Oreochromis niloticus: one gene and its partners. The protein of the gene in region 1 purifies or fractionates together with the protein of each later gene. This does not show direct contact. Links are inferred from orthologs where the notes say so. Each region holds a gene or a part of one and is shown on either strand. Other genes may lie near its edges.

Region 1 (7,967 bases):
TTAAATACAGACAAGCACGGTTGATTTGTGTGCATGCCATCTACAACTGAATGAAATGGTGACACAGAATGCAAAGGTACCACAACAAAGACATAACTGGTTAATGCAATGACAATTTTTTGCTGCAATCACTAAATATAACCTCAAAGAGTGCAGACTTCTTTGATTATAGCAAGATTAGGCCCAATGCTGATATGAAGGGTATCTAAGCAGGATGCCTAAAAGTGTGACAGGAAACGTAAAAGGAATCTTTCGGTTGTCATCTAATTAGTGGTTATTTGAGTTATAGAAAACCACATTTTGGTTTAAATGTATCACTTAGTAGTCTTGCCATTTAGTTTTGTAAAAGAAATATAGACTAGCTAAAACTATATTAAAACCAAGAAAATCTCTAGCATTCACAGGGGTCGGTCACAGTTACTTACAGACAAGGTTCACAATTATTTCAACATAGGATGAATTGAAACAAATAAAAAAGGGTAGTTTTCATGTCAACTGGGACTTAAATTTACTTCTTACAACTTAAGGTTTATGTACCCATCACAAATAAATAGGTTACTGCCCCCCTTCTGCTTTGTTTTCAATACAAACTATAGCACTTTACACAGGTCATCACATTTAGTAGGTATACCCTAATTTTCTGTGGTATCACTTAAACAAAGCCCTGTTAGCACTGAAGAGATCATTTACAGTAGTTACTGGTTAGCTGTCACAGCAGGTACACAGGCTTTTTTTTTTTTTTTTCAGAAGTACAGAAAAGCAGGAACTTGCAGAACTGTGGCTGGGCCACCTTCCCCACCATGCTGCTGGAACTGTGTCCAAAACAAGTGCTGTCACCCATCCAGGAAAGAGCCTCAAGAGAAAACGTGTTTGCCAAATCTAGAATAATTAAGATTTTACTCCCATCAGCTTTGATCTGTTCTTCATAGCAAGACAGTCTAAGCAACACAAGCCCACATCAGTGGTGCATCCACATAAGATCCTGTGACAAGTCTCCAAAGTCGCAAATGTAGGTGAGAGCAATCTCAGCAGGTTAGCATTATTTGTAGGTATTAGGTTGAGGGGATCACTTGACTTTTGAGTTTTTAACTTTGTCCAATTAAATAAAAACGTGCTGCTGAAAAAGACAAGGTACGGCTATAACCGAAGTGCGTGAGTGCTTTGTTCTGCTACAGCAGCTATTAGAAGTTACGTGTTTTATAAGGCCTGGTTGATCCAGTTATAACTATGAAATTGCCTGAAGGCCGTCAGACGCGGACTATATCGTCAAACTTCACTGCACGGCTCCGTTCGCCCTCCATTCAATTTTCTCTTGCTCAAACGATTCATTTCTTTGGTAATGCGAGTTGTGGTGAAGCGTTTTTAACTAAAGAGTTAGCACTTCAAACATGAGTCAAAGAGTAGCAATGCTAGGGGCCAGTAGCCTGTATATGCTCACCATGAGAAGTTAAAAAAGTTGTGCTCCGCCATAACTTCAGGAAAAAGTGGCCTCGGTGACATCATCATATTTGCAACGCATTCAAAGAAAAGAGGAATAATTCCAAGTCGGTAAAGATCCAGACACTGTATCAAATAACCCTGTATCCGGTAAATGTTGCATTAATGTAAGAGGGTAAGGTCATAGGCGGGTCTCCTTTTCGAACCACCCAAAATAAGAGAAGAAAAAAAGTTTTCTTCCTCTTCTTTTTTTTTTTTTTTTAATCTCCAATTCGTGGTAAAAGCGAAAAAATCCGTCTGTCCGTCGGACCCTCAAAGTGACACGACGAGGGATATTCTTCAAATCCAGCGAAGCACTTTCAAATTAAAACCTCCCCCCACAAAAAGTAGGTCCGCAGTGCTTCGCTTTGCAGCTCAATATTTACGTTGTTCGGGAGAAGAAGGTGAAGCAGTTTAAGTTGGTGTCGTGCGTCCGGCTGACGCCACTGATTGAAACAGGACCTTGCAGTCATATCAAGAGTTGCAAGCATCACTCACACTGCGCAACTACAGCACAAACTAAGCCCTCCCACTTTACTGGTATTGTCGTTTTTTGTGCTCATAAAAGAGTGAGTATGATTATATCTGAATCTACTGGGTTCGCAATATCATTACATATAAGATACTTTGTAGCCATATTGTGCAGCTTACGCCACCTTTCATACTATCGTGCGGAGAGCTCATACTTGCAAAAACATGTTTTTTCTTTTCCTCAAATGGTACTGCGCATGAAAAATTAACATGCATTTAAATTATTATTATTATTATTATTTTAAAGTTTTCGCAAAAGTATCTTTTGAAAAGCAAGCGAAAAGGCCCACTACCGGTTTGGTGTGAAGGAGTAATCCTCTCCAAGGGCACCATCATCTGGAGACTTTGGGGCAGTGCAATTTTGTAGACCTGGACATAATTTTATAGCCTTTTCACCTCTTAATGCTAAAATTCTTATACTTATGTGGCAAAAAGGACAATGGAGTCTTGTGGTAAGCCATGCAGGCTGCAGCTATTAAAAAAAATTTAACTAATACAAAAAAACAAATCTCACTTATAATGTGCTGGACAGAAATGCGTCATTGTTTTATTTCTATTAGATTTTAATATGCTTTTCAAACATCCCAGCTGTTTCTTATGATCTAACACCGCCACTTCATCCTACCCAAAGTAGTACATTATGACAGTATCGAACTCACCATGTGTTCACCATCTCTGTTGCTTCCAGGTCTGGGTCCCCTGAGGTGTCCTAATCACAGATGGTTCATAAGGTCTTTTGAGCAAGCTGTAGTTGACACCATCTGAAAATAAAACACCACGTTCCAGTCAGTGGTTGATTAAGCATCCTCGTGTTGTTTTCATATAGCACTAGTAGATTATTTTAGTCAAACAACAAAATCAAAAACCTACCATCCATAATCCAGTTCAACAGTAAACCCTACTTTCAGTTCTCATATGTAACTTTCCAACGAGGTCTTCTTTTCTGAAAATGACAGATATTCAACCCAACAAGTAACAGAAACACCGAATACTGTTTCTGTGAAGATGAGGGCAGGGCTTTGTCATTGTGGATCATTTTAAGGTACCCCACTCCACATACAATAGGAGCACAGTTTATCAGTCAGTGAGATATATTAAAATTCTCTTAATCTGTGCAGAAATATGCTTTACAGGTGGTTATATTTTGCCAGATCTCCAGTAAAGATTGTGAGCTGCAAAATTAAGACTAGAAAGGAGAGAAATTGCAACCCTGAAGGCAAACAACCAAAGCCACCTTAAGACTGAGATGAATGCATTTCCCACTTATTGATTTGGCACAGCACTCAGACCAGTTAGCTGAGATGCTTGCAGCTCCCACAGATTGTCTCTCTATCAGTTACCCTGTATTCAAAATGTGATGCAATTAGGAGTTTTTGAAGAGCTGGGGTTGTGCAAATGAGAAATCACCAGCTTGAAACACATACCCTTGTACTCTTTATCATAATCAGTGTTACAGGTTTATTGATAATGACATTCATATCCCAGATCCTTACAAGTTTTCAGAAATACATGTTAATGTTCATTTCTTAACTTTGGGCACTCACAAACACAACAGATTGCCTGTAAACAGTAAATTCTGATATGCTTAATAAGAGGAAAAACAGTGTAATGTAACATTTTTAACATATTTATTATTCACTGTGCTATTCTCTTAATTGACCTAATAACGCAAAATAATTTGAGATAATTCCAGTGTTGCTTGATTGCTCTGAGTCAGAGATTATGACAACAATACTCCAGTCTTTGCCAATTCACATCAAACACATTTAAACATTTTCAACTGCCTGGATTAACAAGACAAATGTCTAAATTGCTTATTGTATTAATTTTGTAAACAAAGCTGCTTCTGAAATCTTTCTCAGCTAATGTCAATTTAAGTTGTGTTAAATCAAACTCTTAAATCAAGTCTCTATGATAGAGGCATACATGTACAGCCAACATTTTTGTTAAATATTGTGAGAGCAAAGGCTGTACTTACTTTTTTATTTAGATATGGCCTATGGGGACATCCAGACCAACCAGTTTTTAACTTGCTCAGAGTCCTATAGGCAAATTAACCTCAGTAAACTGAAGCAAGATGATAAATAAAAACTGTCACGTAGAAACCTTTTCAGTTTCCAGATTAAATGTGAAGAACTGTGAGCATTTTGTATGGGCAAGCTAACTGTATCCATGCTGTGACTCTCACATGTGGTTAATTTTTGAAGAACGTCCTATTAATAGTTAATAAAAGCACTGTGTTGTATTGCAGTCGCAGTGGTAGTGTGAGAAGTGTAGTGCAGGTAAAGTGAAGACTATAACATTCTCTAGCGTTTGTTTTAAGAAGCTTTTAAATGTTGAACATGATGAGGGGGGAAAAAATAAGGTCAGTCGATTAAGGGAAAAGGGACCGTTCTAAAGCCACGATTGGCTGATTCATAGAGGCGGTGTCCAGAGCCTCTCATGTGTGATTGGCCGCTCGCAGAGTAGTCGACCAATGACTGTGTGAGCTTTTAATGGATACGGTGAATGACAATTCAGGAACTCCTGCTCGCACCGCATGTAGCGCAAAGAAGGAGGCGTAAACACTGACATAGCTAGGTAGCCATCAAGGTAAGCAATAAAACGACATTAAAAATACTTTCATCAATTTACGTTGTATATCTTTTAACTTTGAAACGAAGGCATGTTAAGATTGATGTTAACCTTTACTTGAGCGTTTAATCGAATTTCTTTTTTCTAAAATACGCACTGGTTTAGTTTAGACTCACTAACGAAGCGTCGGGATCTTGGTCAGGCCCGCTAATGCTAGCTCGTCACAACGACTTTGGTGTTTGCGCCCTGCGCGGGAAATTTTATACTTATGGTAAATTTACTGAAATCCCTGCGAAAACAATGTATTGTGAAAATGTATCGCTATAACAGTGGGTGAGACACTTTTCTATATGGGGAAAGAGGACTGATCGTCGACTGAACCGTGCTTCTTGATCGTGGTCGTGAGGTGGTGTGCTAGCATGTGCTAGCCAGCAGCATTGGTGTCTCGCGAGTACGCAGAAAAATCAACGTGACTAGGCCCGTGTTAGCGTAGCTTCAACCTTTTGGCATTTGATTTCTGTTTTGGAAGCGCAAAATATTTCTGAAACATGTAGTCAGATATGTACATTTAACAGGCATACAGTTTGTTTGTTTTTTAACGACTCGAGTTATCGTGCTATTGTTTGTACCTCGAGTTTGCTGGTATCATTGAAGGCGTTAAATCAACAAATCAACGATGCGACATGCTGGCCTCTGAAGCTAGCTTTCTAAGTAAGCATGCTTTCGTGGTTATTTACGTAGCAGTCGGCAGTGGGTGGCATTAAATTGATTGTTTTAACGAGGATTACTTCATCACGGCTTTCTCCATCAAATCGAGGCGCGTTGGGTGTCCCCATGTGGCCCGTGGATAAACGTTATACGAAATTTTAGAAGGCGTTTAGTGACGAAAGTTGAAGTGGGACGGACACCTGGATGGACAGTAAAACAAAAAAGAAACAAGCTTCACTGTATGCAAAGTCAATAAAATCTATCTGACTCATTAGGTTGCCCCAGGTCTTCTTTTGGGATGGGTAATACGGGAGAATTGATTACTCATTAACTCACATTCTTCCTGATTTGATGTCTTCAGCACTATCAGCAAACAGAAGTTTGACCTAGGGCAATTACAGCATGATCCCGCTGAGGAAGCCTTGTAAGTTAGTTTAGTAGTTGAGTGTAGTCTGGTGGTCAGTTATGATAGACTAGAGCTTGGCAGAAGAAAAAAAACAAAACAACAACTATTGTTTGATTTTTAGATTAGATTCCCCCCCTTCCCCTGGTAGTCATTATACTAGAATGACTCCTGTAGTAACTGTGCTTCAGTTGTGATGTAAAGGTGTTTGACTCTGGCATAAGCAATTTTAAACATGAGACAATAAGAGTTAGCCTACTTTGACCACCCTTGAAAATCATTATTATTTTTGTTATATTCATGTAATTTTTGATGTTAGGTACTTGTGACAGAATTTTTTCTTTAGCCTTAAATTGTTTCATCAATTAAATTGCAAGATTTTTTGATAATCTAAATGTGAAATAGTGGTCTGCACATAGAGATGGATTTAGATTAATGTGCAGATTTCACATTTAAACTTCATTCTAAACTTACATTCTATAGATCACAGTTTAACACAAACTGGTATCCAAATTTAGCACCAGTAAAGGGCATTTCTTTCATCTACAATGTCCATACATGTACCTCTCAGAGGTTAGACTTAAGTTGGACTTGATGGTCACATCAAAACTGGAAGTTTGGAGAGTGCCAAAGATGATAGCCACATTCTCCAAGGGGAAAGGGGGGGGTCTTTGTTGAAACTAATGCAAAAGCTAACATGAACAACTGAAAAACAGTTGAAAGTCAGTGTTCATAAGGATCATTGAGTACATGAAACGATGTGTTAACTAATTTCTGTTTTTTTGTTTTTTCTTCAAGGTAATGGAGATGAGCAGCAACAGTGAGTGCTTTGGATGTGGCCGCTCTGGACATTGGGTCAAGCACTGCCCTAATGCCAGTGGTTCGCGTGGCCGTGGCAGGGGACGAGGACGAGGCAAGGGTACTATACTATTCTTGCCACACCCAATATAAACTGGATTTAATTATAGAAGGCATGGGTGAAAATGAAAGGAAAAACTCAATTCTTGTAGTTTTCTGCTTTGCTTATCTATCTGTGTCATTACAGAGCTGTTCTGTTATCGGTGCGGAGACCAAGGACACATGGCCAGGGACTGTGACCAAACTGAGGATGGTGTGAATTCCATTTGTTTTTCTTCAATTCAGTTTTACTTGGTACCGATTTTTCCCAGAAATGTTTTTTTCTTTTAATCATTTTTTTTTAATGTCAAACTGTTTCAATTTTTCCCCAGCGTGCTACAACTGCCACAGGAGTGGTCACATTTCCCGGGACTGCAAGGAGCCCAAAAAGGAGAGAGAGCAGCTCTGCTACACTTGCGGGAAAGCTGGTCACATGGCCCGTGACTGCGATCACGCCAATGAGCAGAAGTGCTACTCCTGCGGTGGGTTTGGCCACATCCAGAAGCTGTGCGATAAGGTGAAATGTTACAGGTAAGTATGGTTCTGTTAGGAGAAGCACGCTTGGTCCTATAGTTTGACAACATTTCTACTATTTTGAAGCCCTCCAATTCTAATCTTTAGGTATACTTGGGTTCTGTGTTAATTTTAGAGTCCGCTTTTATCGCACTCACCAAATTCTTTCTTTTTCAGGTGTGGTGAGATTGGTCACGTTGCTGTACACTGCAGTAAAGCAAGCGAGACTAACTGCTACAACTGCGGAAAGGCAGGCCACCTGGCAAAAGAGTGCACCATTGAAGCCACCGCATAATCAGTGCCCTCTGTTGCCCCTCCTTTTTTCAGATTGATGGTTGGTTGTATTATTTTCTCTGAATCCTCTTCACTGGCCAAAGGTTGGCTAACAGAGGCTAGTCCCAGGCCAGTGAGCCTCTCGACATGTAATACAAAGAAAGGGGTGAAAAAAATATCTTTCTGCATTCAATACAAAAAATGTTTTAGTTTGGTAGCGGTGTTATGTATAATGCTTTGTTAAAGAACCCCCCTTTCCAAGCCACTGGTGACCAGAGATGAATAAACGGGACTAAACATATGGGAATCTATAGGACCTCTGAGCTTGTGGAAGTGTATCTCAGTAAAATGAGATAGAAGAAGGGAGTAAATGGAAACCAAACTTCCATGTATGGTTATTTTGGTTTGTTTTAGTGGGATATGAGTTGGCCAAGAGAGTATGACATGGAAACAGTTCATAACATGATGCATTTCAGCCCTACAGCAGCTAAGTGGGCGATAACAAACTACATGTTATATTACTAAGATATAAAAATTTTGGAGTTGTTAAAAGAAACATGCTCTTTTATAGAAATCTGTTTACAATTTAAGT
Region 2 (7,725 bases), on another chromosome or scaffold:
TCAAAACTTTAAGAAGGTCCAAGGAAAACCATCTGGGAGCTTGACTGCTGAGGAGTACTGTATATTTAAAGAAGTCTCTGCCCGACACTCATAAGACAACAGGTTTATTTAGTTTTTTGACACGTGATCTGAAATAAAACTCATATGTGCAAATACAAACTAAAATCCATATATCTTGTGTTGATTTCACATAAAGAGGTAGTGCGTGCACTTACAAAATCAACTACCTAATTTTAAAAGTGAGGCAATGAAACAAAAAGAGACTTAATTCATTGCTGTTCAGCATCTTTTACTGCACTAGGTGCATATGTGAACACACACGTACATTGTATAAACATTAAGTAACCAATATTAAGTAGATCAATGTAAAAATGACAATGATTTGGTAAAACTGGATATTTGTTGTTCACTTTTCTTGCTACAAGTAGCAGCCTTCTGAAAGAGAACATTCAAGGCACATTTAATGCTTTGGTGATGAGTCTTATTGACTACCGTTTGCTTTGGTGTTCTCCAGTTTTTGATGATCCATAATCTTGATGTTCTTTTCAGCATTTTCAACATTTCTCAATAGAGTCTCCAGCCTCCGCTTTATGTTCTTCTGGTCCTCCAGAGCGCAACCGATCACAATGGCCTGAAACTTCTGGTTGATGGGAACGGCCGGTGCTTCAGTCACACATGCGGCGTGCAGGGCCAGCAGCTTCTGCCTGCTCCCCTCCATGTCGTCCAGCAACTTTTTCACTATTTCATCTATGATGGATGTGGCTTTTTGTAGCGCCTCCTCCTGCTGCGGGTTTCTGATTGTCCCAACAGAGATTTCCACAGACAGCGTCCGGCCCATTAAACGGTTTGCAGTTAAAGTTAACTCCTCTCTCTCTCCTAAGAGACACAACATATGGGGAAAAAAAATAAATAAATACTTTCTCTTTAAGTGAAAAGATTACCACAGGTAACTAGGTTTTGTAAGGGGTAGCATGTTGGCTAGATTTATCTAAATTCAAATCCTTGCCCTTGTCTTTATTATCTGAAGTTTCCATGTTCATGACTGTGCTCAATCTACCACAAGCCAGGGACACAGTTATTTTATGCAGTGTAAAACAACAGGGTGGGCTTGCACATCTACACTTCAGATCTGCAAGGCCATCTTGTTGCAAAACCTTTCTAAAAAATTCTCTGAGAGACAAAGCAGCTGGTGTAAAAACAATCTACAGCAGATAAATAGTATCAGAAAATCAAGTCTGCTGAATTTGAATTTTCTGCCTCAAACTGTCATCAGTATGTATGGAGGAGGTTGCGAAAGAGATACAGCAGTAAGTATCAGCGGTGTTAGGGATCTTGTCAAAATTGATGAATTATGAACACAGAAAACTACCGTCAGATTTTGATCCACCATGCAGTACCATCTGGAAAGCATCTGATTGGCTTCATTTTTCAGCATGACAATGATCCCAAACACATTGCTAATGGATTAAAAGCTAGACAGAGGAAACACATAGTGGAACACTATCTGTAATGGACTGGACTCCCCAGAGCCCAAAGCACAACATTACTGAGCAGGGTGGGATCGTCTTGGCAGAGAACAGAACAAAAGGCAGTCGCCCAAATTCTGTTTTGCCACATAAATTTTGTATTTCCATTTATTTTTGCATGTTTTACTACATCACTGCACTTATTTCCACTTTACTGTCAATGTAGAAAGAAATAAGGAGTGGCTCAAGACTTTTGCCTAATACTGTACACTGTAATGATTTCTTTGCAAGTGGACGCTTTCTTTGAAAAAAAAAAAAAATGAAATATGGGTAATCAGATACAGACTGCAGGTGGTTTTCAATGAGCATGTTCAGCCTAGTTTAGTGCCTTCATTAAAATGGAGGTTGATGTATAAATGACATCCAGGAGCTGCAAACAACTACCTGGGTGGAACTCTTTAAATCCTCAGACATTCACGAACCCACCTCCACCCAACAGAAAAGTTCACTTTCAAAGCGTGTCCTCATTGGATCACAATGTTGCAGTGGCATCAGAGCAGAAATACAGGAATTCAAAACAACAAAATGATACTAGGAGGCTATATCTTTATAGTGACATCAACCAGCGCGTGACTTTTGCGTTCAAGTTGTGATAGTCAGCAAACCGCCTCACCAGCACAGATGTTACGCATTTCTTGACTGTTCTGTAGAGATTGAATCATTTCCAGGATGCACTCCCTTTCCTGCTCCATGGCCGATGCCGCTTCGCGTAAAGCCTCCACCCTGTTGGAGACAACAAAGCATGACAATAACCATCCATTGAAAAGCATCCTTAAACTGCGAGAGTAATGATTATGAGGCTGTGAGCTACGAACTAAAAGCAATCCACCTATAAAACATATGCGTAAAATGTGATCATTAACTGTTCTCGGAAAACCGCTAAGAAATTAAAGCTACTTTTATGGCACATTTTAAGCGCTATAATAACTTATTATAGAAGATGTGAGTAGTCATATATATCCCACAAACGACAATGCTTGAATAGGTGGCTCAGCATAAAGCACATGCTAAGGCCCGTTACTTAACTACCTCATTTCGAGCTGGTCCAAACTTTCCAGCAGCCGCCCCGAGCGATCTGCCATGGATAGCGTCCTGCTGAACTTGCTACAGGTAGCCTCGTTCATCTTCGCCTGTATTTTTGCCTGAGCCATGATGATGAATACCCGTCACAAGGCTGATCCGTTCCGGAGTAAAAACAAATCCCGTGTGCGGTCAACTCCGAGCTGTCCAGCTGACTGTAGCTCCACCGGCTGCTGCTGCAGCGCCCCTGGGAGAACATTTCCAAACATGGGCTGCAACTTCCTTCACTCTCTCCTCATAGAAGCTTCCCGAGGAGCCCAGAACTGTGCTCTCAAAACTAGGGTCCGAGGACCCCCTGAAGGACCACGGAAACGGCCGTCCGGTCCACAGAAATACTAGCTAGGATTTAAAATAGGATAACAGTCACTATTTTTTGTCCAACAAAATTAGTTAATAGACTTTGCTGAATCCACCACCAACCTTTTAACTCTGACAGTGATTTCTATCAATGACTCAAGTACTATAAAATATAAAAAATGTATACTATAGCATAAATTCCTTACATTAAATGAGGAGTTTTTCCTCACCAACAAAGGCAGCTTCACCTCTGGCACTGCAGTTAGCCTGAGATGCAATTCTACAACAGGAGTGCTAACCTGTATGTGTCATCAAATATACTAATATCTCAAAGCTTTTGCTCTTTAGCTGACTTGCCCAAAATCAGATATTTGGCTTGTAACAGCCAAGGGGATGAAAAGTTTCATGGATATATTGCAGTTGATTACAACACGATGATTCTAAATGCATATTTTCAGTGTTAATTCATAAAAAGGAATTGGCTACCCAGATCAGTGTATGCAGGGATGAGCAGTTAATTTTATCCAAGAGCCCACATTATTCATGTGGGCTCTTGGGAACATTAATTGCTGGGTATACAAGTTTTACTCGAGTGTACTCTTAAGTGTGTGCGCCAAATTAACACATTTCTGGAGCACAAAAATTATGTGAATTTATATTGCAGACTTCTGGTATCACAAAAGCTTTTTCCTTAAGAAAAATAATCTAGCATTCTTGCGTAGAAAGATCAGGATTCACATGACACCATGCGAAGAGAGTCTGTGACATACAATACACTGGAAAACAGAGCGCAACTGGAGACACAGCACTGTGGTCACATGTTCAGCTCAGGCATCTTGCAGTGTGGTGGATGCCATCTATAGCACACGTGTCGAAACACTCTGGCTCCTCACAAGTGTCAAGCTTACAAAATTGCAAATCTGCACGGTTCAGTTTGGTGTCCACTTACTGCAAATAATGACAAACTCAGAAAAAGTAAAAAAAAACCCAAACAGGACAAACATTTAATTCTTTATTATATTCTGAACACGTTACCTTGTACAAAACATTCTAGTATAACGTTCGATGAACAGCATGTTACAAAAGCACTACCGACTTTCTCAGAACTCCAGGAGGCTTCTTTTGAGAGCTTCTTCCAACTCTGTGAAAACAAATTACACGAGAAAACCTTCATTCATACCAGCATGGCCATATGGAAAACACTACAAACTGCATCATTTCAACAACACAGAACATTTTATGTTGACCATAATGTCATAACTTTAACATTTCTATTCTTTCATATCTCCAAATCTATTTATAGTGATCCCCAAAATGTTTCCTTCGTCTTTGAGCCAGCAGAGCCTTTAGGTCATCCACACTCCCCGCCCCCCTCTTCATGACGTCTCACAGGTGCCACAAAGATCGACTCTCACTCCGTGCCGACATCATTCTAACATCTTCTCCTGGGAAAAATATTCTTTCAGTAGGCAGCTGCTTTGTTTTAGATTTCATGTTTTGATGAAATCTAAAATCTGGACACTGATTGGAGTTTCAGCATGAACGCTAAATTTGGACTTGTCTGAAAATAACACCTTCAATAGCTGCAGACTTTCTGTGCGTGTTATTTGCAAATTTAAGCCTAGCTGTCCCAGTCTGTGAGCTGGATAGTTTCCACTCCCCTCTACCCACACTTCGAATAGTCTTTGAACTGAGCTGTGTCTGTAATCCTGCTCAAAGCACTCCTCTGTGGTGTTTCTAAGCATTTTCTTGTAATCTGATGGTCTTTCTGAGTGCCTTTTGTTCCGAGGACTGACTTCTCTCTTCATCTTTCTGAAAATATTTCATAACCATGGAGCATTGAAGATTGAGATGGTCGGATGAACGTTGTGTCATCCTATGCTTGAGCTCACGTCACCGTCTTTTACTGTTTGTCCCCAGTAGGAAGGTAATTTATGAATTTCTGAAGAGCCTGTTTACACAGATGTAATTCATCACATTACTTTCTGATTTAAGCAGCAGGTTCATGCTTTCTCAAATGTAAGCCTGACATCATTTTAGTACACAAAACTACAGACAAGTTTCTTTTTCATCAATTTGATCAAACACATTCTTTGTCTCGACATTTGTTAAATGTGTTCAAATTCCTCCAAGCAGTGAGTCACGGTTTGATTCCTGGCCAGCCAGACTGTGAGTGCACATCACACTGCATCCCATATTTCCTGTCTGTTCCTATCTAATAAAAGAACAAAAAAAAACTCTCCCAAAAGGCTGGGAATAAACCTCACTAAACCAACTGTTCAAATATTTTTTTAGGCCTGCATGTTATCCGTCGACATTTTCATTCCTTAATGTGCAGGGCAATGTTAACAATCACCGATTGCATAACGTACTGGATGTTTATCTCAATACAATAAATTCAGCAAAACAGACAATATGTTGTATTGTACTGACTTACAAACTGTTCAAAAGAGAAAGAGACTATATCCTCAGCCCTGCATACACATACCTGCTGACTCTTGCGCTTCTTCTGCACTCAAAGACAGCGCGCGTTTCATTTCGTCATCCGATTCAACTGTAACAGAATACAGAGTCGTTTATCCAAGCAGGACATTCATAGGATTAAATATGCAAATAATTATTAGCAGTTGAGCTAAAGGAAGAGTTCTCTTTAAACAGACAGCCGTTAGGGTCTCATGACGAAAAGAGATAAAAAAAACGAAGTAGCATTTATTTAGTATCTAGCCTTTTCTTTCTAGTTACAGGTGACAACAAAATTATTAGTCCCCTATGAAAATTAACATTTTGTCCATTTCAAATTTGTCCCAGTGCTTTTTCAATAGAGCTAAGGATTTTCAACATAGGATTACTAAACACACTAGTTTTCTTTAGGAAGCATAAATTATTTGTATTTGCACACAATAACAGAATTGTTTAAGAAAAAAAACAAAAATTACCAGGGTCAATAATATTAGCTCCCTGAGAAAACTGGCCTTTTTATTTAGCTATAGCAAAAACCACCACTGTCCAACGATGTGCTTTATTTTTGTAATGCTCAAAGCTTGTAAAATCATTAAAACTGTGGGTTTATCTTCCAATTTAAAGAAAGCATAAGAACCTCAAAAAGAGTTTGAGTTATCACTTGAAAAACACCTTTGTCAAAGTGAAAGAAATCCTGAAGGAAAAAAAGATATGAGAAGATTTTTAAAGAAAACCAGGAAAACTGGGTCTGAGCAGTTACTTTGTCTTCCAACATGACGACATAAACAATAAGTCACTCCTGGTGGAGAACTACCTCCAGAAGACCAAAGTCAACATTACTGGCTGGACTGCTCAAAGAGCTGACTTGATGTGGGTTAAACAGAAGACCAAAGTCTATGCCAGGAGACCATCAAATCTGAAAGCATTTGAGAGACTCAGCAAAGAGGAATGGACTGGGATTGCTCAGGCGATGTGTGTGAGACTAGTTGAAAACTACAAACAACTATTGCAGGCTGTTATCCAGCAAAAAGGATACACCACCTATTAGCATCAAGAGGACTCATCACTTGTCTATGGTAGTTTGTATAAATAATTTGGTTCCTGTGTGCAAAATAAAAATAATGTAACCAATAAAAATCTAGGATTTTTGAAAAAGCTGTGATTAAAATTCCTTCCTCTGTTTAACAACACTTTAAAAAAAAAATTCATTGGGGGACTAATAATTCTGGCCTCATCTGTATATCAGTGATATATGTATAGTTTACTGCCTACCTTCCTGCACTTCACTCTTGTCATTGGTGTGATCAGTGTTGAAAACTGTCAGCGTTTCGTCGTCAATCTCTGCAAACATGAATACAAATTAACATTCAAACACAAGACATTAAATGTGAATCAGTTTAACCGATTTACCGTTGCTCTCTGGTTTATTCTCCACAGCATTAGGTATTCTTGGAGTGGTGGGTTCTGCTTTCGAGCCTTTCCTGCAGGTCCTGGAACTCATGCAGGGATCCAGTGTACAATGTTGCGAGTGGTAGTGTTTATGGAAACTCGGTACATCCATAAAACTCTCTTGGCAGTCTTTGCATCTGATGTCAAAGCTCCTGTCCAGGTTCAAGGCTGTGTGTTTTGTGTGGACATGAGTCTTGATCTGTGCATAGGATGGAACAGATACATCGCAAGGCACACAGATGTACTGGCATTTTTCTTCCGCAGCCAGATTCCTCATGCATTGTGTGTAAGTGGCTTTCATGTCTGCTTTACTTTTTTCTGAACCCATGCACGGGCATGTAAACTGACTGGTACTCTCAGCGGCAGTGGCGGCATCTGGTTGAACAACTTCAACGTCATCCATGCAGTAGTAGTCCTTACTGTGAAGATTCTTGTAGTGCTCAAAAAACTCCTCCTCAGATCCGAACTCCATGCTGTCACAGAGGCCGCAGAAATAGGAAGTTTTTATGACCCCATCATGCTCATTCATACAGTGTCTCCGTACGGTGGACTCTTTGAAGAACTTCTGAGGACAGTGTCCGCAGACGAATCTCTGAAAGCTGTGACTACTAACATCGCTACAGTGTTTGCGGACGGCAACCTCCGAGTCAAAGACATCCTCGCACATCCTGCACATCCAAGACTGCTCTACTTTTGATGAAGACACCTCTGTGCTCAGCTGGACTTTGGCCACAGACAAGGAGTGAAATGTGATGTCACTGCTAGTGGATGGCTTGACATCAACGATTATGGGAAGCTGCTCAGGCACTTCTTGTTCACTGAAATACGTGTGTCCGCTGTGAGCTCCGGACACGTGTGACAGGATGTCTTCGTACCGAGGCATTTCCACTTTGCACTTGCGGCAGTAGAAGAG
Region 3 (7,829 bases), on another chromosome or scaffold:
ATCCCTGGAGACTCGATGCTTAAAACTTAAAAGCCTTGATGACCTTGAACAAGTAATGATGTTTACACAAGGACCTGAAAATGGCCAACGTTTGTTTGTCAGCCTAATTAAACAGATGTTGGCCTTGGATGCAAACCAGCGCATAACACCTTCGGAGGTTCTCCAGCATCCCTTTTTCGACCCTAAGAGTTCCCTGTGCATTGACACGAGTAGCACAAGAGGACAAAACCCTGTGGTCTTTCAGCAGCCTTCAAACTTGAAAAGTAAGAGATCACAGAAAATCAACTGCAGTTTCCAAAACTCTGTTGAATTTTCTCAACAAGTGCACATCAACATGTCAGCCAGCCCATCCTTCAGCTCAGATGAGCTTGAAATAGTTGAAGGGAGCATTTTGGGAAACCACTACAAGGTAGAGGCTTTACTTGGAGAAGGGGCCTTTGGTATTGTAGCCAAATGTCGCAACACAAAAACCAACCAAGCTATTGCCATTAAAGTCAACAAGAGCCGCCCTGATGTTCAGCAAGAGGCAAAACTGGAAATTTTCATCCTGGAGCAGCTGCGACAGTTGGATCCAGATGCCGCCAACATTGTTAAATGGGACGGCTTTTTCCAAGACGGAGAGCGGGTTTGCCTAAAGTTTGAACTCCTTGATCAATGCCTGTGGGACTACATACGGGACCGGAATAACCAGGGTCTCCCCATAAGCGAATTCAGGCCAATTTTAGGTCAACTCACAAGTGCTCTGTCCCACCTGGGTTCTGTGGGAATAGTGCACGCTGACCTCAAACCTGGAAACATCATGGTTGTAAACCGCCATGAGTCTCCAGTCAAAGTCAAACTCATAGACTTTGGCCTCGCATGTCCTGCGTCTGCAGTGAATCCTAGTGACTGCGTGGGGACAGTTGGTTATAGTGCACCTGAGGTTGTGCTTGGCCTTCCTTATAATGAAGCAAGTGACATGTGGTCTCTGGGTCTGGTAGCTGTGGAGCTTGCTACAGGGGTGCCACTCTACCCTGCGGAGAATGAGTATGATTATCTGAAATTCATCATAGAGACTCAGGGTCAGCTACCAGATCATGTTCTAGACTCTGGCATTTACACTGATGACTATTTCATTGAAGACAACTACAAGCAACAGCGCTGGACATTTAAGACTGACCAACAATTTCAGTACGAGACAGGATATCCATCCCTGGAGACTCGATACATAAAACTTAAATGTCTCGATGACCTCGAACAAATAATGAAGGTTAGACGAGGACCAGAAGATGGCCAAAGCTTATTTGTCAGCCTGATTAAAAAGATGTTGGCCATAGATGCACACCAGCGCATAACACCCTCGGAGGTTCTCCGGCATCCCTTTTTCAACCCTGGCCTCTCTAACAGCTTCCCATGTATTGCCATTGAGAGACCACACAGAATCAATCTCCAGAAGGGAGAAACAAAAGTCTGGATCATTGGGTCAAGCTACATCAGACGAGGCGAGAGTGACGCAAAAGAGATATTCGGAGAAAATTTCGGACTTAATGCCAAAGTCCAGTGGTTTGGCAAAGGAGGGATGCGCTGGAGTGGAGTCCTTCCTCGTTTTTATGAGGAGCTATCCACACAGAGCCCACCTGACATATTGGTAATCCATGCTGGGGGAAATGATTTGGGACTCATGTCTGCTTATCAACTTTCTTCTGTCATTGAGAAGGAATTGATGCAATTGCACACAGAGTTCCCCTCAATGAAAATTGTATATTCATCCATCAACGAGCGTCAAGTGTGGAGATATGGAAATCCAGGCCAAATCAATAAGGACAGAAAGATCGTGAACGCCAGCATTAGAAAGGCTGTCAACCGCTTTGCTGGAGTGATTATTGAGCATCCACGCTTGAGGTTTTTCAACAACTCAATTTTTTTACCCGACGGAGTTCATTTAAACAAGAAAGGAAATGAACTGTTTCTGAAAAGCATCCGCTCGGCCATCCAGCAAAGTCTTCAGTCACCTCACAGAAAAGTGACTTGAGGGATTTCCTTCACAGTCCAGAAAACCACATGTTGTTCATTTTAGGCAATGTGAGCAACACATATCTAAATTGTGCTCTCATTTTTCTTTTCTTTTACCTCTCACCACCCAACCAGTCATGACAGATGGCTGCCCCTTTCTGAGCCTGGTTCTGTCAAAGGTTTCTTCCTGTTAAAAGGAAGTTTTTCCTTTCCACTGTTGCCTAGTGCTTGCTCTCATAGGGGATCATTTGATTGTTGGGCTTGAATTTAATTTAATTTAATTTAATTTAATTGGATTGAACAAAATTTTAAAAATTCAGGTGAGAGGTCCAAATTGTAGGGAGCACTACAAAATCTACAAATAAAAAAATTGTCATTAGCAGCAAATCAAAATAAAGAAAAAAAAAATTGAAAAACATCTCTTACTGCTCTGTTTATTTACTTAAATGAACACTTGTACTTTTTTGTCATAGAAAACTATTAATATAAATAGAATAGAATAGAATAGAATAGAATAGAATAGAATAGAATTCAACTTTATTGTCATTGCACATGTCACAGGTACAGGGCAACGAAATGCAGTTTGCGTCCATCCAGAAAGTGCTTTAGTCGTGATATAGATATATTACAATATATATTAGCAATAATAGAGATGTGTAAGTATATTACAGAAATGGGTCTATTATGGTATGTTATAATGTACACAGTGTGAAGTATGTTATGAATATTCTATAACTATAAGTATGTACAGGCTGTAGTGAGTACAAGCTATGTACAGGCTATGAACAGGATATAAATATGAAATAAAAACTATACAGAAATCTGAGATATACAGTTATACAGAAATGTGAACTATGTAAGTTATAAACAGTTGTGGGATTAAAAATTATCGTATGTACAGAATGATTATTTACACAGAACTATACAGTAGTGGTAAAGTGCTAGTGGTTGTGGGTGTGTGTATGTTCAGTCCATGAGTTTAACATGGGTCAGATGTCAGGAGGCAGAGTTCAGGAGTCTGACAGCTGTGGGGAAGAAGCTGTTCCGGTACCTGGTGGTCTTAGTCCGGAGGCTCCTGTAGCGCCTCCCAGAGGGCAGGAGGGTGAAGAGTCTATGTGATGGGTGACTGGGGTCTTTGATGATTTTCCCAGCCCTTTTCAGACACCGCTTCCTGTAGATGTCCTTTATGGCAGGAAGTGGTGCTCCGGCGATGCGCTGGGCAGTTTTCACGACCCTCTGCAACGCCTTCCGGTCCGAGGCAGAGCAGTTCCCGTACCAGACTGTTATACAGTTGGTCAGGATGCTCTCGATGGTGCAGCGATAGAAGTTCACCAGGATGTCTGAGGACAGGTGGTTCTTCCTCAGAGTCCTCAAGAAGAAGAGGCGCTGGTGAGCCTTCTTGACCAGCTTGGAGCAGTTGGTCATCCAGATGAGATCCTCGGAGATGTGGACTCCCAGGAACTTGAAGCTGCTCACACGCTCCACAGCCATCCCCTTAATGTGGATGGGTGGATGTGGGTCAGCATTCCTCCTGTAGTCCACGATGAGCTCCTTAGTCTTCTCAGTGTTAAGCAGCAGGTTGTTTGTGTCGCACCACTCAGCCAGACGATCCACCTCCTCCCTGTAGGCGGTCTCATCGTTGTTGCTGATGAGGCCAATCACCGTGGTGTCATCTGCAAACTTAATGATGGTGTTGGAACCATCAGCAGGTCTGCAGTCGTGGGTGAAGAGGGAGTAGAGGAAAGGGCTCATCACACAGCCTTGTGGTACACCGGTGTTCATTGTGATTGTTGATGAGCAGCGGTTATCCAGTCGGACATGTTGGGGGCGGTTGGTCAGGAAGTCCAGTAACCATTTGCAGATGAGGGAACTGATGCCCAGGTCTGTCAGTTTCCTGATGTGAACACCAAGGAGTTAGTTGGCCTGCACTAACTACTGGCATACTATTATTCTGTGGCAAAACCCTGTCAAATCTGCCTTGGTGCACCTGTTGAAAAACTGCATCTAAATCCAAGACCCTAACTCCCATCAAAACAGCTTTTGAACTATGAGGATCCCAAGGAATTGTTCTACACAACAGTGTCTCTTTTATCCTTGTGGTGTCAAAAATGTGATGACAGAAGCAATTTAAAAAGTGGGGTCGTTCCTGCTGTTGAGACAAACTCCTGACTAAAAATACAATGTGTTTCTATGGGTCAGTTAGAAGGTTATCCCTCTACTTTGAGCCACACAATTCAAAAAGTTCAAATCTCTGAGCGTTGGCTCTAGGTCAACGTATGTCAAAGTAGATAGAGTTGGAAGAGGAGTAAGTTGAATGAGAATTTGAAGGGTCTCCCCATTGAAATCCGTTATAATTTTTTGTTGAATAAAGTTGAATAATTTAAAAAATATAAAAGTTAAAAGTGAGAAAAATAGAAGCAGTAATGTCCAAAAGAAGAGGAATCGAATGGTGGTTGAATGGTTTTTCTACGTTGAACGGTTTTGAAGGAGTTAGATGCCAAAAAACGTATGGAATATATAAAACGGAATAATAAAGATTACAACAACAATACTGTGAATGCTAATAATTCATTATATTTGTAATATTTCATGACAAATGATAGAAATTTGACAAAGCAAGTAAACAACAGGAAATCAGAAATGCCATCTGTCGTACTTTACTTGTGTTTCTTTGGTGAGGTAGCTTAAAGTCATTGACTTGGGTTTCATTATAGTAACACATGACGGTAAGAGTGCCCCCGTGTGGTGTTTTACGATCACTGCGCGGTGAAACGAGAATCGCTCTGTTTGTCCTTTGTTGTCACCCGTCTGTAGCTCGCTGCCTCGCTGAAGTCGCTCCACCTCTGCCTCTCCGGCTTTGTACCCAGAGTTGAACCCACGCCGCGGCTACCTTCTCTAGGATACCGGGGCTGCTAAAAATTTGAAAATGGCCCTCCACGTCCCAAAAGCTCCGGGCTTTGCCCAGATGTTAAAGGATGGCGCCAAGGTGGGGTTAAATTAGGAATATCGGGCTCGTAGATAAGCTTTGACTGAGTAGTTGTGAAGAAGCGTGCTTGCTAGCTAACGTTAGCCGCTGAGTTAGCTTGTTCATTCAGAGTCATGAGGGATAGTTCTAGAAAGCGGCAGCCAGGCCGCCCAGCCGGCTGCTGGACGAAGGTCTGTTAGGGAAGATGAAATGCTTATTCTTGATATTTCACTGTCTCCCTTCAGTCTAAACCGTGCTAAATATAGCAGCAGCAGCGGTTGAGCTGCTGTTATAACGGGATGTCACACTGCAGTCACACCCAGCTAGCATTCAGCTAACTGTCAGTACTGTCAGCTTAAAGTGATGCCGATGCTTAATGGAATGCTTACATTCTCAGACTATCCATATTATATCCAGTTATTTGCTTTTAACATATTCATGGTTAGGTAGTAAGCTAAATATATTAGTCTGACGTGGAAATGAACGGTAATGCACCTGTCTTGAAAAGCTGATTTCTTGTCTGTTAAAGCACTTTTCAGGTCTTGAAGAGGCTGTCTTCCGTAATATCAGAGCTTGTAAGGAACTTTCTCAAACCACCCGCACTGCCTATGGGCCCAACGGTAAGTTTGGTCTGCCTACAGCCTATTAGGGTCGTGCTCTGCAAAGATATCAAAGCAGCACCCGTTAAATGAAGTGTTTTCTTTTAGGTATGAACAAAATGGTCATCAACCATTTAGAGAAGCTGTTTGTCACCAATGACGCTGCAACAATTCTCAGAGAGCTTGAGGTGAGGAGACAATGTTGTGCACCTCACTGAAATTCAGCTGAGTGCATAATAAATGTATGAATTTAACTGTTTATGTAAATTCTTGTTTGTTTTACAGGTGCAGCATCCCGCAGCTAAAATGATTGTAATGGCGTCCCACATGCAAGAACAGGAAGTCGGCGATGGTACCAACTTTGTCCTGGTGTTTGCTGGAGCTCTGCTGGAGCTGGCTGAAGAGCTCCTTAGAATGGGCTTGTCTGTTTCAGAGGTAAACAAGATAATATTAGTAAAGTAGCATGGCTTAATGTCATACATGTGCATGTCACAGTGCTATGATTGGTGCATTTTCTCAGTGCCCCCTTTTTCTTCTTTGCCACAGGTGATTGAAGGCTACGAGAAGGCTTGTAAGAAGACTCTGGAGATCCTGTCAGACTGTGTTTGCTCCTCAGCCAAGAACCTCCATAACATTAATGAAGCCAAGTCGCTCATCCGTACAGCAGTCATGAGTAAACAGTACGGCAACGAAGACTTCCTTGCCAACCTCATTGCAGAGGCCTGTGGTGAGTCAGAAGTGCACACTATCTCAGACTCGATTGTCTCGATTTTAGCATTGCCTTGGTATTTTTCTGACTTCCTTTTTCTCCCCTCTTTGTGCAGTATCAATCTTCCCAGAGTCCGGCAATTTCAATGTTGATAACGTCAGAGTATGCAAGATTTTGGTAAGCAGCATCTTCTGTTGGTTTTATTTTGTGTGCGTATGCAGTTTGGCCTCTATTAACATTTGTGGTCATTTTAGGGTTGTGGGGTGACGGCATCCTCTATGCTTCATGGCATGGTTTTTAAGAAAGAGGCAGAGGGAGACGTCACATCAGTGAAAGAAGCCAAGATCGCCGTTTTCTCCTGCCCCTTCGACTGCATGGTGACAGAGACCAAGGTAAGTGGAGGTGACTGATATATAAAGTTTAATGAAGATGATGCTGACATTGCTCTCTGTGCTGACGATAGTCCCTTCTGTTCCACAGGGCACAGTGTTGATAAATAATGCACAGGAGCTCATGGACTTCAGTAAAGGAGAGGAGGATTTGATGGAAGCTAACGTGAAGGCGATCAAGGAGGCTGGTGCCACTGTGGTGGTAACTGGGGGGAAAGTGGCTGACATGGCGCTGCACTACGCCAACAAGTACAAACTCATGGTGGTCAGGTAAGAACTACAAAGCCTAAAGTGGGCAGGGAATGTATCTTATACAAAGCGCAAGACATTTAAGGCAAATTCAGTCTGAGTTTCTGCTTCTAGTCGAGCTTATTGTTTTATGTAATTTGCTTAAGAGATCACGTTTCTCCCAAGTAAAGGATTGATCTTTTTGCTAATACAGATGGTCTTTTCATGGCCACGTAGGACTAAAACTTTTATTTTGAAGGTGCAAGATGTAACTGTATCTGCATTTCTTTTAGGAAATTTAAATAAATATCTGATGCTGTATGTTAAATATTACATGATTTATAATAATATAATATAATGTATCTTTGGCATTGTGTGTTTCCCAGCCATAAACGTTCTTTTTTCCTTCTCGTCAGGCTTAACTCCAAGTGGGACCTCAGGAGGTTATGCAAGACTGTGGGAGCTGTAGCTCTGCCCAAGATGGTGAGTGTACACTTGTGTTTATCAGATCAGGCATTTGAAAGAGCCGTCCATTTTTAACCATAAATACATTTTTGTCATCCTTAGATGGCTCCGACTCCGGATGAGATGGGTCACTGTGACAGTGTATATCTGACTGAGGTGGGAGACACTCAGGTGGTGGTCTTCAAACATGGTAAATGACTCCTTTCTTCAGGCTTGTGAATCTTTAATTTAAACCTTTCTGAGTTAACCTGTTGGTTGGTGCTGACACTTTCAAACAGATAAAGAGGATGGTGTCATCTCAACCGTGGTGATCAGAGGTTCCACTGACAACCTCATGGATGATATTGAGAGGGCTGTAGATGATGGAGTCAACACCTTTAAAGTTCTGGTCAGGGTAAGTAGACATAAGTCAGAGTGGGGTTTTTTTTTTTTGTTTTTTGTTTTTTTTGTTGGGATTGTTTTTCTTACGTTTTAGATGGATG

Evidence for each region. Proteins that work in one complex are often made in the same cells at the same time.
Region 2: the proteins of raf1a (region 1) and bag2 purify together in Homo sapiens (co-immunoprecipitation; 3 studies listed by BioGRID and IntAct, with this or other methods). This does not show direct contact. The link is inferred for Oreochromis niloticus from reciprocal best matches to the Homo sapiens genes RAF1 and BAG2.
Region 3: the proteins of raf1a (region 1) and cct8 purify together in Homo sapiens (affinity purification with mass spectrometry; 4 studies listed by BioGRID and IntAct, with this or other methods). This does not show direct contact. The link is inferred for Oreochromis niloticus from reciprocal best matches to the Homo sapiens genes RAF1 and CCT8.

The regions. Positions count from the first base shown.
Region 1 is NC_031984.2:13,896,172-13,904,138, forward strand, and holds the start of raf1a (raf-1 proto-oncogene, serine/threonine kinase a), read right to left. Parts: upstream 3,031-7,967; 5' UTR 2,878-3,030; intron 2,769-2,877; 5' UTR 2,667-2,768; intron 2,321-2,666; exon of another isoform or gene 2,301-2,320; intron 2,066-2,300; exon of another isoform or gene 1,439-2,065; intron 1-1,438. Other genes in the region: cnbpa (CCHC-type zinc finger, nucleic acid binding protein a), read left to right, coding at 6,494-6,611, 6,738-6,803, 6,922-7,120, 7,280-7,397. UniProt on the Homo sapiens protein: Serine/threonine-protein kinase that acts as a regulatory link between the membrane-associated Ras GTPases and the MAPK/ERK cascade, and this critical regulatory link functions as a switch determining cell fate decisions including proliferation, differentiation, apoptosis, survival and oncogenic transformation.
Region 2 is NC_031978.2:19,992,675-20,000,399, reverse strand, and holds bag2 (BAG family molecular chaperone regulator 2), read right to left. Parts: upstream 3,044-7,725; 5' UTR 2,678-3,043; coding exon 2,556-2,677; intron 2,250-2,555; coding exon 2,140-2,249; intron 877-2,139; coding exon 482-876; 3' UTR 89-481; downstream 1-88. Other genes in the region: E3 SUMO-protein ligase ZNF451, read right to left, coding at 4,775-4,854, 5,392-5,457, 6,636-6,704, 6,774-7,725. UniProt on the Homo sapiens protein: Co-chaperone for HSP70 and HSC70 chaperone proteins. Acts as a nucleotide-exchange factor (NEF) promoting the release of ADP from the HSP70 and HSC70 proteins thereby triggering client/substrate protein release.
Region 3 is NC_031975.2:13,928,356-13,936,184, reverse strand, and holds the start of cct8 (T-complex protein 1 subunit theta), read left to right. Parts: upstream 1-4,786; 5' UTR 4,787-4,918; coding exon 4,919-4,978; intron 4,979-5,486; coding exon 5,487-5,577; intron 5,578-5,664; coding exon 5,665-5,744; intron 5,745-5,841; coding exon 5,842-5,991; intron 5,992-6,102; coding exon 6,103-6,283; intron 6,284-6,380; coding exon 6,381-6,442; intron 6,443-6,519; coding exon 6,520-6,657; intron 6,658-6,745; coding exon 6,746-6,924; intron 6,925-7,298; coding exon 7,299-7,365; intron 7,366-7,449; coding exon 7,450-7,537; intron 7,538-7,625; coding exon 7,626-7,741; intron 7,742-7,829. UniProt on the Homo sapiens protein: Component of the chaperonin-containing T-complex (TRiC), a molecular chaperone complex that assists the folding of actin, tubulin and other proteins upon ATP hydrolysis.